4 separate regions of the Mus musculus genome follow, and regions 2, 3 and 4 are each reported to be linked to region 1. Evidence: microRNA targets listed by miRTarBase, many of them from high-throughput screens and not tested one by one. Region 1 holds a microRNA gene; each other region holds the end of a gene's coding sequence.

Region 1 (3,184 bases):
TACATAAGCTCATTTTCCTAGAAAAAAATCACATGGAAATGGAATTTTTAACTATTTAGTAGTATGCCCTACAAATGATTCTGTCACTTTTCACATATCAAATTTTAGAACTAGGAATTTAAAATGTTTAGAGAAGAAACAGTTCCAAAGATTTTATAGTGGCATTATTGCCACATCAAAGATATTAACATACCCAGCTTTTAACTTCCCAAATTTGTTGCAGTATTTCATGCCTTTAGCTTTGCTATTTAAGTAGATTTTTTGTGCCCTGAGAATTGTTGCTCTGTCATCAGAACTTAAACCTGGTAGTGTTTTCTCCATGTTCTTAGACAACTTCATAAGATGGCTATGGTTCAGAAGCGTCCTACAAAGGCTTATATGTATGTTAATGGTTCATTTGCAGATAGGGAACCAGAAAGGGTCAGTGTACTAGAATAACAGCCATGGGAGACACTCAAAGGACAGTGTCAGGGTTCGGACCTCAGATTCTGTATTCTGTCATTGTGCTCCAACAAATTACTGGTTGCTTATTATTAAATTCAAAAAGTATCCCATTATTCTGATGCAGTCAAGATGATGATATAGCTTGGGCAACATGCCTATAAATGTTTGTGAAGTGCTAAGCTTTATGGAAACAAGATGAATTAATATTAGAAGTTTTATAAGGTAAAAAGTAAATGTTTCTAAAGAAAAATATTAATGGAAACAAATAGAGTTGAAGGGGGAAATAGGACAATTTGGTTTGATCTATCTTCTTAAATTGTTGTAAAATTCTGTTTTCTTATACGAATAATATTAATTTCAGGTATTTAAAGATTGCCATGTATTCCTATGTACACTCAAGTTACCTTCTTAAGCAAAACATTTTGTTTTCTTTTCAGAATGGCTTTTTTTTCCTTTTAAGAACATTAGTAAAAAGTTGAACTATGTAAAAACCCAACAAAGAAAAATTATTTTGGTCCTTAGGCCAGAATATAAACCACTGAATTTGGAACGGGGCATGATGGTGCACGCCTTTAATCCTAGCATGCAGGAGGGAAACCAGGCAGATAGATCTCTGAGTTCCAGTCCAGCCTGGTCTATAGAATGAATTGCAGGACAGCAGCCACTGTCCTCAAAACCTCTCTCAAAAAACCACTGAATTTGAAATTATAATCATTGTATAAAGATAAAGGACAAAATCACTTTTAGCAGCTTTTATCTTTATTTTCAGACTTTTTTTTTTTAAGCTGGCACACTTGAAAGCAAAGGTTTGAAGATTTAAAGACGTTTTGATATTTCAAATGACCCAACATGAACGGGAATGGAGAAATGGCATTGACCCACTAGAAAACATTTGCTACACAGTAATCTAGTTTGAATGGAAAATCTGGTATGAACTGGAATAATAAGAACAGTTCTTTGTGAAGGGATGGCTAAGTCCCCCACTAAACAGAAAAGAGTCTTCTTAATAGTGTAAGAAAACCTAGATATTCACACACACATAAAATGAAGTTGGAACTTAACGTAGTAAAAATTTTGTTTCAGCTAAGTCAAAGTCCTGTGGTATAAAATGATACTCCTTTAAAGGACTAGCCTTTTTAACTGGGAAACACACAAATGGTTACTTAGGCTTGAGCTACAGGATTTCTGATATATCCTTTTAGGAAACCAAATAGACCTGTTATCCTAAGATGATGTTCTGGGTAATAATAAATGACACTGAACTCACAATAACTATTCCAATATTGAGATAAATCTTGTGTTCATGTGTAGATTGGGGGTTATATATTTTTGGGGAATATGTTTCATGTGTATGTCTTCTAAATATTTTGCTAGTATAAATTTCTTGAAACTGAGCTCTTACATGTTTGTTCTTACATGTTTCCTTTAACATGAAGCTTTGTCCTATGGATTTGGCTTTGAAAGATGTGCTGCTCTTAATAAGGTAAAAACCAACTTTTGTAGCTATTTCATGTGTTAAGCACATTCAAAAGTTGTTAGTTTAATAAATGAGGTTCTTAAGTTGGTATGGGAAAATGACTTGCTTTTCTCGTTTCATGACTACAATAAATTACAGCACTGTATTAAGTTTTCTGTACGCTTTTATTAAACTTATGATATGGAAATACTTTTTATTCTGCTGAAAGCCTATAAAATTATGCACATACCAGTGTTAGATTTTTTTCAAACATAGATTTTATGTGTTCTACTTTTTCCTAAAAAGCCTTTTCTGTAAATTACTATTGAGGTGCTAGGAGTTTTCAAAACCAACCCTTGGAGTAAAGTAGCAGCACATAATGGTTTGTGGATGTTGAAAAGGTGCAGGCCATACTGTGCTGCCTCAAAATACAAGGACCTGATCTTCTGAAGAGAGTACCTGTCTTTTTATTCATAGCTCCTATGATAGCAATGTCAGCGGTGCCTTAGCAGCACGTAAATATTGGCGTTAAGATTCTGAAATTACCTCCAGTATTGACTGTGCTGCTGAAGTAAGGTTGGCAATACTCTACAACTGTAATTCAATGTGTATTGATGTTACTTGTGTGTTTACACGGTTTTTCTAATTGCATTAGTGATTTTATGTTTGGTATGATTCTGTAATGATGTTAGTAACAACGCTCTACATATTGTGTCTGTTAAAATACTATATAATTGTGGGATGGTAATGCAGCTCAGTTGGCCAAGTGCTTCTTGCTAGCATGCACAAGGCCATGGGTTTTAGCCTTACCACTGCATACCAGGTACACTTGTAATCCTAGATCTGAGGAAGTGGAAAAAAGAGAATTAGAGGCTTAACATCATCCTTGGCCATAAAGCAAGTCTAAGACCTATGTAAGGATCTGTCTTTTAAAAACAAACAAAACATAATGACTTCTGTGTGAGGAACTGATTATAGGACTTCTAGATACCCAGATTTGTAAATGCTTGGATCTCCTGTATAAAATGTCTGCTCGTGACCAGTGCATATCCTCCCTTATACTTATTTAAACTTATCTCTACATTGTTTTTAATGTGTAGTGCAGTGGGATGTTAACATGGATAGTTGTATTATTCAAGTTATTCTCTTAATGATGAGAAAAAAACTGTACAATTCAGTACTAATGCAGTTTTTGTCCAAGAAATAAGTTTTTTGGTTTGGTCTTTTGAGCCTGGGTCTCACCATGTAGACCAGGCTGCCATGAAACTCACTGAGATCCTCTTG
Region 2 (3,170 bases), not on the chromosome of region 1:
TCAAAGATTAAATGTCCATAGGTGTGTGGGTTTCCTTGTGAATCCTTGATTCTATTACATTCATCAACCTGTCTGTCTCTGTACCAATACCATGCAAATTACTTTGTAGTACAACTAGAAGTCAGGGATGGTGAATACCCTAAAGTTCTTTTTTTGCTATCCTGGGTTTTTTGGTTTTTCATATGAAGTTGAGAATTGCTCTTTCCATGCCTGAAGAGTTGTGTTGGAACTTTGATGGAGATTGCATTGAACCTGTAGATTGCTTTTGGTAAGGCAGACAGTTTCACTATGTTAATCCTATCCATGAGCATGGGAGATCTTTCCATCTTCTGGGGTCTTAGGCAAAATGCCTAACATTGGGGAGAGGGCACTCAACAAGTCCCACCTCCAATAGATAGACAGGGCCTCAAGTAGAGGGACTGGGTTACTAACCCACAGTCAAAATTCCTGTCTCAGAATTGTTCCAGTCTAAAAGAACTGCAGAGACAAAAATGGAGAAGAGACTGAAGGAAAAGTGGTCCAATGACCATCCCAACTTGATCTCCATCTCATGGGCAGGGGGTGGGTGGAGGGCACCAAGGCCTGACACTATTACTGATGCTATGATGTGCTTACAGACAGGAGCCTGGCATGGCTGTCCTCTGAGAGGCACTATCTGCAACTGACTGAGACAGATGCAGACACTTACAGCCAACCATTTGAATTGAAGTTCCTCCAATGGTTGAATTAGGGGAAGAATTAAAGAAGCAGAAGCGGAAGCAAAAAGTGACCACACAGGAAAACCAGCAGTCTCAACTAACCCAGACTCCAGGGAGCTCCCACCAACCAGGAGCACACATGGGCTGGTCCAAGGCTCCTGGCACATATACAGATATTAAAGTTTTCATGGTAAGTGTGAGAAATAAATCTTTAAATTTTTTTCTGGTTAAAATTTCAAAATAGAGTACACTTATTAAAGTATAACACAACTGCATGTGTGTTTTTAGTTAAATATAACTTAGCTTCTTGAACACCTACATATGCTTCATAGAGGTGCACGTATGGGAAGCCGAGCAGAAGCCCTTCCCCAGCACAGAGGGCCTGCTGACGTCAGCACAAGCAAGAGGACTGGGTATAAACAACTGAACTTGAGTATGAATAAGTAACACACAACACTACAAATGACGCTCAAACACTTCTTTTTATTACATACTAAATTTAAAAATACAAATCTCATTAAAAATGCTTATCAAACATCATATATATATATATATTTATAAGCACTGCCAAATGCTACTGGATTGGGACAGTCTGCACAGCCGCTAAGGGTGATCAGAAACAGAACAGAGCAGCACAATGTTGCTGATACTGAACTTCGAAAGTCAGATGGTTACAATTTGGCAACTGTGGAGTATACCTGCAGGGAATGTCTGCAGAGGTGAAGTCATAAGGAACTAACGGAATCATGCAGAGACTCCTTTGAGGAGTGTTGAGTGAGTCTTCCTCATCCTCTTAAATACACTGTAACAGAAATTAAAGTGCATGAGACCAGCAGAGCACTTCATTTGGCTGTACCCTGCGTACACACTGTAGCCCACTGTGCCTCCGGGCTGAGGGCTCCGGTTTCCTGCACAGTTCCAGAGGCTTCCAAGTTCATTCTGAATATGGCTAAGGGAAGGGAGGCCAACATTTTCTAAATTGCACCAAATGGCCTTAAAGTGTTAAAAACACTTAAAAAAAAAAGCTAATTTGGGGGATGGTAGAGTTAAGGGAAGTATCTATATGTATTCCACTCTAGCAATAAAATTAGAATAAGGATCTAGTTTTGCCTCTAGATAATGCTTAGTAAAATCTTCAAAAGTTCAGATGTGCAGAAAGCACGACAATACTGCCAGCCACTTGTCACTCTGGCACTGCGCATCATAAACACCAGGCAGGATACCTGCCCCTCTAAAAGCTCAGAAGAAACACAGGCAGCAACATGGTCACACTTGACACACTGCTACTAATAAACACCAAATATGATCTGCAAAAGAGGTCACCGCCATCCAGGAAGAAGAGAAGGAAAAGCAGTCTAGAAAAGTGCTCCCTTTTCTTCGAAAACCCAGCAGTTGAATTTGGGGTAAAAGGAGGTTGTACAGGTAGGCCATCAGTTCTAAGCCTGCTGGGGACACTGTATAGACGCACTCACACATGTATGTATAAATTTCAGTTCTGATTGAAACGAATGCACTAATAGAAATCATTCATAGGAAGTCTTCCATCTGTACAAACACAAGAGTGGCAGCGGAGGCGGGGATTTAAAACTGCAGGCGACTGCACGGTAGTCCATTAGAGGTGAGACACACTCACGTGAGTAAGACACAGAATGAAGCAACACTGAGAAAGAAATACATACCAAACAGACCTGTTGGCACGGGACCTGCGAGGCAAATAAACGCGATGGTCATGATTAGAGTTTATCACTATTTCTCTTAATGACTTACTAATGTGGGGTCTACTTGGAGTACTACCTAGAAGACACAGTCTCTCATGACTGGATGAAATTATTAAGCTGCTGAGTGCATTCTCTTGGCTTCCATGGCACATTACACTTGGTAACACTAACAAGGTAGATGTGGGGAACACTTAGAGCGTGATTACGAATGTTTAATTGAGTATTTTCCTTTCTGTAGCTGTGAAATGTAAAGCTTAGATTTGCTTCCATCAGGCCTCTTAAACCAAACTTCATCATGGTTAATTGTTGTAATTACAGCACTAAAAAAGAAAATAAAAAGAATGAATTACAATGCGGCTCATTTCATTTCCATTTATTTTATTATTACTGGGGGTTGATTTCTCTTTTCTTTTTCCTTATATTTTTAAAGACATGCCCTTCTAGCCCAGGTTGGCCCTGAGCTTGCCTTCCCTCTGCCTCCACCCGGTTTATACTAATCTTCAGATTACCAGCTTAGAAACACGGTTTCATATCAGCTACAGTAGGCTCAGCACGTTTACTTACCAGTTGCTGTGCTATCAACACAAATGTTGTTATCTAGAGAAAAAGGTGTTTCTTACTGTAGAAAGCTGATACTCTTAAGAATTTACCATAAAGGATGAAGGCAGTAATTCATTAATACTTCCAAAAGATCACAGCAAGATAATTTATAGGCTATATAAACAATTATATAAACCATAAGTCTAGATTACCA
Region 3 (3,184 bases), not on the chromosome of region 1:
CAATTGTATTTTTTTTCAGTTGTTTTGTACAATTATTTAAATAAAATAACTTGGGCTGAATTTGACACACAATCCAAATGGGATAAGAATGTAAATAAAACTAGCCCTCCTCTGACTGTTTGACACTACTCATGGTTGTATTATATTGACATCATGGGTCAGGGGGAGGGAATAGGATCATAGCTCACAAAACTTATCAAAGTGATCACAGCAACCATTTGCCTGGAAATCCTGGAAGACACGCAGTGGCTTAGAACTGTAGGACATGAGAACCATCAGGGATCTTTACAGAGCTATTCCAACCTGGTATTTTATAGAAGGGAACACAAAAGTCCAAAGAACCTAGATAATGGTCCAAGGTTGTCTATTTACCTAGACTTTGGGCCACCAGCCAAGGAGCACCTCCTCCTGCTTACTGGGTGGGGCTTGGTGTTCCACAGGGGCTTCTTTCAAATGTTCAACTCTGTTTTTATGTCTCCGCAGCCAGTGGCTCCTCTCCAGCACCAGCCTGGGTCTCGGCAGACCCCACCTCATCCACCCCAAGTCCAGCTGTGCCTCCGGCTGCAGATGCCTCCGACCACGACCCACCCATGATGGCTAACGGCCCTGAGCCTCGTGGGTGAACTGTGCGCCCCTGGTCTCTCCAGCTGAGAGACGGTCCTTTTAGCAGCTGGTTTGGGAAGGCTGGTGCCAGGCGTTACACTGATAAATACCTTAAAAGTCTTGTGAACTGGATGCCAACTTTGCACTTGGTGTCTTTTTGTTTATGTTTAAACAAGAACATAGGCAGAGCAGACTGTAGTTATCCAACAGATTCAAGGGTTACCCGGAAAACAGGGGAATCGGGGGAGGCGAGCTGAGGCTTTGGACTTTCCTTCCTGGTGACTGTTCTGGGAACCGCAGTCCATATGTGGAGCGTCCATATAGAGTCATTTTTAAAAGTTTTAGTCTGTCTTCATCCCCTTTTACCAGAGAATAGGAACTTATCTCCAAGGCTGACTGACGATGCTTCAGTACCTCTGTTTGCCACCGCATCCTGCTCCGCAAAAGCCCAGCTGGTTGCTCTCTGAGTCCCAAATCCAGCAGCTAGAAGGAGCCTTGAGACAAACACTCCACACACAGGGAAGGCGATAACATTGTACATTGGTTTACATTTTTTCCCCCTGTGGATTTTTCTAGAGGTCATAGTGCTTCCAAATCATTTGATGACATTATTGGGTATCGTTTATGTTTCCATCATAACACATGCAATAACATCTAGGAAATCTTTACCGTTTAAGTGTAGTCTGCTTCCCCATGAGTCACCATTAGAATAGACTGGCAGCAATGGAATACGCAGACAAAAAACAAGCTGTTAGTTCATAGGTTCATCACCACCCCTTATGCCTGCCTGTGTCTGTATAGGTGTGTGTGTGTGAGAGAGAGTGTGTGTAAGAGGACAAAAAAAGAACAGAGTGTCTGTGCACTGTATGCTGCTACAGTAGTAAATAAATCAGTAACGCAATACTGTGGGTTCAAACTATCTTTGCACTACTTTATTTACAGTAGTAAATAAAATTATTTTTCTACAGTTGACTACCAGGAAGTGGCTTCTTTTCTTGTTCATTGTCACTGTGGTCGTTATTCAAAGTGCTAAGGTCAGAGTGTTCTCCTTAGGAGCCTCCCCACCCCCAACACACAAACCAACACCCTACAGGAAAGCGATTGTCCTGCTAACCATTGACAACTGTGGAAGAGAAGGTGGCAGGAAGCTCCCTTCCAAGAATTCGAAGCCTGCATCTGTGATGTTTGCCCAGCCTCACACTCTGTCAGGGCTGAAATGAGTGTTTCCTTGAATTCTAGATTAACCTTTCAGTTTGCCCCCTCTCTCCCATGTGTACTGTTCTCATTTGAGCAAAAATTATCTCAGCCATTTGTAAACGAGCCAGACTTCGGGGTCTAATAATCCTGGTCCTGCAACTTACTCAGTAATGCTGGGATTAGCCCTCCTTGGGCTTCATACTCTTGCGCTATGAAATGAGGATTTAAATTTTTTTTAAAATCTACTTCTTGGGCATCTCACAAGGCTTAAGTGAGATTTTGTGTGTTTGTCTCTGTCTCTGTCTCTCTCTCTGTCTCTCTCTCTGTCTCTGTCTCTCTCTCTCTCTCTGTCTCTCTCTCTGTGTGTGTGTGTGTGTGTGTGTGTGTAGCCCACAAGAAAGTGCTCTGAGTACAGGTCTGTCGTGCTGTTGGGGCAAGAAATACAAAAAGCTCTACAAGGCACTAGGCTCTGCCTCAGACCTCTGTCGAGAGCAAGCACACCCATTCCCTATGTGCTGGCACCATTCCCTGTGACTGCTGACAGCTCACAGCTGCACTATCCAGTGGGTCACACACACTTGCAAGGATATCCCATGTCCCGTTGCTCATGGACGTAGGAGCAGTTTCCCAGTCTTGTCTTCATTGGTTACTTTTCTGTTTCTGTGAAAGAACACCATGATCAAGAGCAACTCAGGGAAGAAAGAGTTAATTTTGGCTTACAGTTTCAGGGGATAAGAATCTGCATCACGGAAGAAAGTTAAGACAGTAAGTGATAGGTACGGAGGCTGGGAGAAGACATCTTCAATATAAACTTGAACCAGAGAGAGTGAGCTGGAAATGAGATGAGGCTTTGAATTCCCAAGGCTTGGCCCAGCGACATAACCTCCTTCAGCAATGCTATACCACAACACCAAACAGCGCCACCAACTGGAGACCAAGCATTCAATTACCCGAGTCTGTGAACCACACTGTGGCTATTGCTATTTGGACACAACAGCAGGGTGGGCATAGTGCCAGGTAGCAGGAGCAGGAAGCTGAGAGATCACCTCTCCAGTCATACACAGAGAACAAATTGGAAGTAGGTCAAGGCTATTAACTCTCGAAACCCACCCTGCGTGACATACTTAAACTCTCGAAACCCACCATGAGTGACATACTTCCTCCAGTAAGCCACTGCCTTCGAAAGGTTCCACAACTCTCCCAAACAACATCACCAGCTGGGGACTAAGTCTTTAAAATATATGAGCCTGTGGAGAACATGTTTTCATCCAAACTACCATACGTATCTTCTCTGAGATGTCCTATGTTCTTCTGCACAGTTTGAACGTATCCAGGCATCTGCATGTGCCCTGGAGAGAGATGCACATGGGGTAAGGAGAGGGGG
Region 4 (3,184 bases), not on the chromosome of region 1:
GGTGACTCAACATAGAAATAGAGTCTATCTAGTCCAGATTGAGTACAAGCTACATCACGCCAAGGAACATCCAGCTGTAGCTGTCAAGCTCCTACAAGGTAGTGCTTTGTCAGTAAAACCAGCAGCAAAACAGTAAACCCCGCTGCTATCTTTACAGCCTAAACCAACTAGTGAACCGGCACCTCCAAGTGTGACGCGCAGGCTGCTGGAATACTGTTATCCGAGCTGTTCTTGGCAGATTTCCTTAAGGAAACTTGAACTCTTCTAAAGAACCGTTTTATTCCTTGTAATGTGTGTGCTATCTTTTTGCTACTATGGAACTAACTTTCACGTCAGAGTTTTGTTTATTATTATTTATAAATCTATATTGATATTTGGTACTTTTGAAGGAAATGCAGAAGAAGTCTTATTTCTTAAATAGGCAAACATATTAGGACCATCTCACCAGGCTTGCTTCTTTCCTCTGTAATTCAGACTGCCACATTCCAGAACTGGATGCGCACCCACTGTCCAAAGCTCTGCTCTACATTCACTGCAGTAGAAAGGGTCAAATCTGATTTAACCATAAATCCCGCACAGGTTGAGTACAGGTTAAGTTTAGGGGAGAAAACTATTACTTGCTCTATAAATAGACCCATCCTAAATCACGTTTGAGGAAATGGCTTTGGGCCCATTGGGCTCATCTTCATTGGTCACTTCATTCTCTTCAGAGGCGATCTCAAGAAAGCAGTATGGAGTTGTCTTCTCAGAGGGTCCTGTCTCAGGCAGTGCTTGCCGGTGACAGGTAAGTCAGAGATGGACCAGCAGACTGAGTTTTTCTGTATGCCACAAATGTAGGCCAAGTGACTACTGTTCTACTCATCCCACATGTCCGTGGTGGGGAGATGTAGTAAATAAATGATAACAATGAATGTTTACTAAGTCCTTATGTCCCAAATACTTTAGATGACTTAAATCGGCCATTCGACATGATTTAGTTAGGCGCTAACAGCGGTAACAAACACAACACTGTAGAAAGTTGTCCGGGAGTGGAAGTGCACACCTGGTGGTTTCTGATCCCTAGAAGCAGCTACACCTTTGTCTCATCTTCCTTTGAGTTCCTTACAATGTGCAAACATTTTTTTTTTATCGCTTCCAATTTACTTCAAGATTCCCTTATCACTCTATTCTCGCAGGCTTGATTGTTTGCAGTTGTAGGAAACCACACAAATGTGAGTCCTGAATCCCAGACAGACAGCACACTGCTGATAATGCTTTCAGTGACCACTTCTGGCAGTCTTGTATGTGAGTCCATCTGCTCCGTGATGCTGCGAAGCAGCTCATGACATCCTGTTTTGTGCACATCCCACGATTCAATACTGCTTAGTGGGTCTTAACACAAGCTGCTGGCTTTGTTGGTATTTATTAGATATGTGATGAATACCTTAAATCCCATGAATCCTTATTTCATTTTATAGATGTAAGAAAATGGGCATGTCCAACCAACATTGCCTGACTTTACACCCTTGGGAGTGACAAGCATTTGCAAGGTCACAGTCTCTGAGGTCACATAGGCTTCAAGGGAGATGTGAAGTTCTGGTCCCCACCACTCACATGTTAGCTGAATGGCAAGTTAGTTTGGACTTCCTAAGTCCCAGTCTTTTTATCTGCACAATAAAGCTAGTAATAGCTACCCTGAACAGCTCCAACAAAGTTGACAAATCGCATCTATAAAGGTCCAGCAGAGATGACATAAGAGCTAAGAGAACCATAGCAACTAGGTTTTCCATTGATTGTCTCTGCATTGCATGATTGCCTACAGCAGCATCCCAACAATTTGTCTGTTTTAAGAGATGGCCAGTCAAGTATAGGACCAGTTGATACAGGGAGAAGTAAAGGTCAAATAAATAAATAAATAATAAATAAATAAACAATCTTGAATATTTTTACAAATTTACTTTCTCATTCAACCGCTTCCATATGCAGGTTGAACCAGTCTTAATTAGTTAAGAAAATGGGAGTTATTTTCATTACCTTTATAACTTTAGTCTAGAAAAACTTTGATAGTCACCTTGAAGTTTTCACAACTACTCTATAAGAAAACACTACCATCAAACTGATTTTGGTGTCAATCAAATAATAAAGATATTGAGATGGGCTTTAGAAAGAACATTCCAGAAGTGAGCCCATTATAGAGGTGGCTACGATTGTCAGGTAAGCCTCAAGAAGGCAAACCACACCGAGATTAAACCCTATGGCAAAGTTCTTTACTAAAGTGACTGACTAGAGTTCTGTGGCCTCAACTGACTGAGTCGATAACTTGCACAGCAAAGATACTTCTGTGACCTGAAGAACTGGAGTTAGAAGAGATAACATGCCCATGGTCTCCAGGGACCTTCAATGCCCAAACTACACTCTAGAAGCACAGACTTCCACAGACCGAGTCATCTCTACGATTGTGGTATCTAGCTGGCATTCTTTCATTAGTGGGATCAAACATTCTTTAAAAAGACTCCGAACTCAGCGACAGTGACCACGAATCACCCCACACCAGACTGTTCAGGTCATAATAAAGCTTCATGCGTCTGGATTGTCCCAGCAAACTGATGAGGACACTTCAGAAAATGTTTCCACTGATTAAACTGCAAAGTATCTCTTTCATGCTCCACAGAAGCTCCTGCAGGGAAGTGACATAGAGTCTTCTAACCACAAATAATGAGATGACTCGTTTTAAATCCATGAGTACAGTTGGTGAACTGAAAAAAAAATCAAGAACCAGAAACATCAAAATACTTTTGAGGGCGCAGTTCTGCTCGGAGGACTCCATGGTGGGTGTGTCTCGCTCTCAAGGAAGGAGTGGCGCTTCTTCTGTTTCCGTTCAATTCTTTCTTGCCTTTCTTTCTTTTCCTAAAAGGGGGGGGGGGTGGACAACAGAAAACTCTAAGTTTATATATACTACGTGAACTTGCTATTAAATCGGATTATTAGAAGAAAATAATTCATTTTAAGATCCCCGTATACAATTAGTTGTTTAGTTAGTGATAAACAAGCAGCTAGGGAATATTGCTGATTTGCATGATTATATACGGATTTACTATGAATCTATATGAATGTCACATCATCTTGTTTGTCTTTTGAGAGAGACTCTCATCAAGCATGGTCTAGCACCAAATCACTACACAGTCAAGGAGGACCCTGGACTTCT

Evidence for each region. The annotated mature microRNA mmu-miR-15a-5p reads UAGCAGCACAUAAUGGUUUGUG and lies in region 1 at 2,268-2,289, shown strand. An mRNA with a match to its seed (bases 2 to 7 or 8) in the 3' UTR can be bound and repressed. Matches are read on the target gene's strand: a 7mer-m8 pairs with bases 2 to 8, a 7mer-A1 pairs with bases 2 to 7 and ends in A, and an 8mer does both.
Region 2: the mRNA of Brms1l is a reported target of mmu-miR-15a-5p. Seed matches in the 3' UTR shown: 7mer-m8 at 1,327-1,333.
Region 3: the mRNA of Sel1l3 is a reported target of mmu-miR-15a-5p. Seed matches in the 3' UTR shown: 8mer at 1,471-1,478.
Region 4: miRTarBase lists Map9 as a target of mmu-miR-15a-5p. Seed matches in the 3' UTR shown: 7mer-m8 at 1,800-1,806 and 7mer-m8 at 121-127.

What each region holds. Positions count from the first base shown.
Region 1 is chr14:61,631,180-61,634,363 of GRCm38, reverse strand. It overlaps Mir15a (microRNA 15a), which reads left to right and starts at 2,254; the gene lies at 2,254-2,337. Dleu2 (deleted in lymphocytic leukemia, 2) reads left to right here. Exons shown (of 7, transcript NR_028264.1): 4 at 1,881-1,927. Mir16-1 (microRNA 16-1) reads left to right here and starts at 2,392; the gene lies at 2,392-2,484.
Region 2 is chr12:55,867,728-55,870,897 of GRCm38, reverse strand. It overlaps Brms1l (breast cancer metastasis-suppressor 1-like), which reads right to left. Exons shown (of 10, transcript NM_001037756.3): 10 at 1,162-2,736. The coding sequence ends at 2,619. Among named protein-coding and RNA genes, the nearest start is that of Brms1l, 33 kb to the right of the region's middle.
Region 3 is chr5:53,105,474-53,108,657 of GRCm38, reverse strand. Sel1l3 (sel-1 suppressor of lin-12-like 3 (C. elegans)) reads left to right here. Exons shown (of 24, transcript NM_172710.3): 24 at 484-1,575. The coding sequence ends at 623. Among named protein-coding and RNA genes, the nearest start is that of Gm17182, 58 kb to the right of the region's middle.
Region 4 is chr3:82,390,830-82,394,013 of GRCm38, reverse strand. Map9 (microtubule-associated protein 9) reads right to left here. Exons shown (of 14, transcript NM_001081230.1): 14 at 1-2,886. The coding sequence ends at 2,764. Among named protein-coding and RNA genes, the nearest start is that of Map9, 34 kb to the right of the region's middle.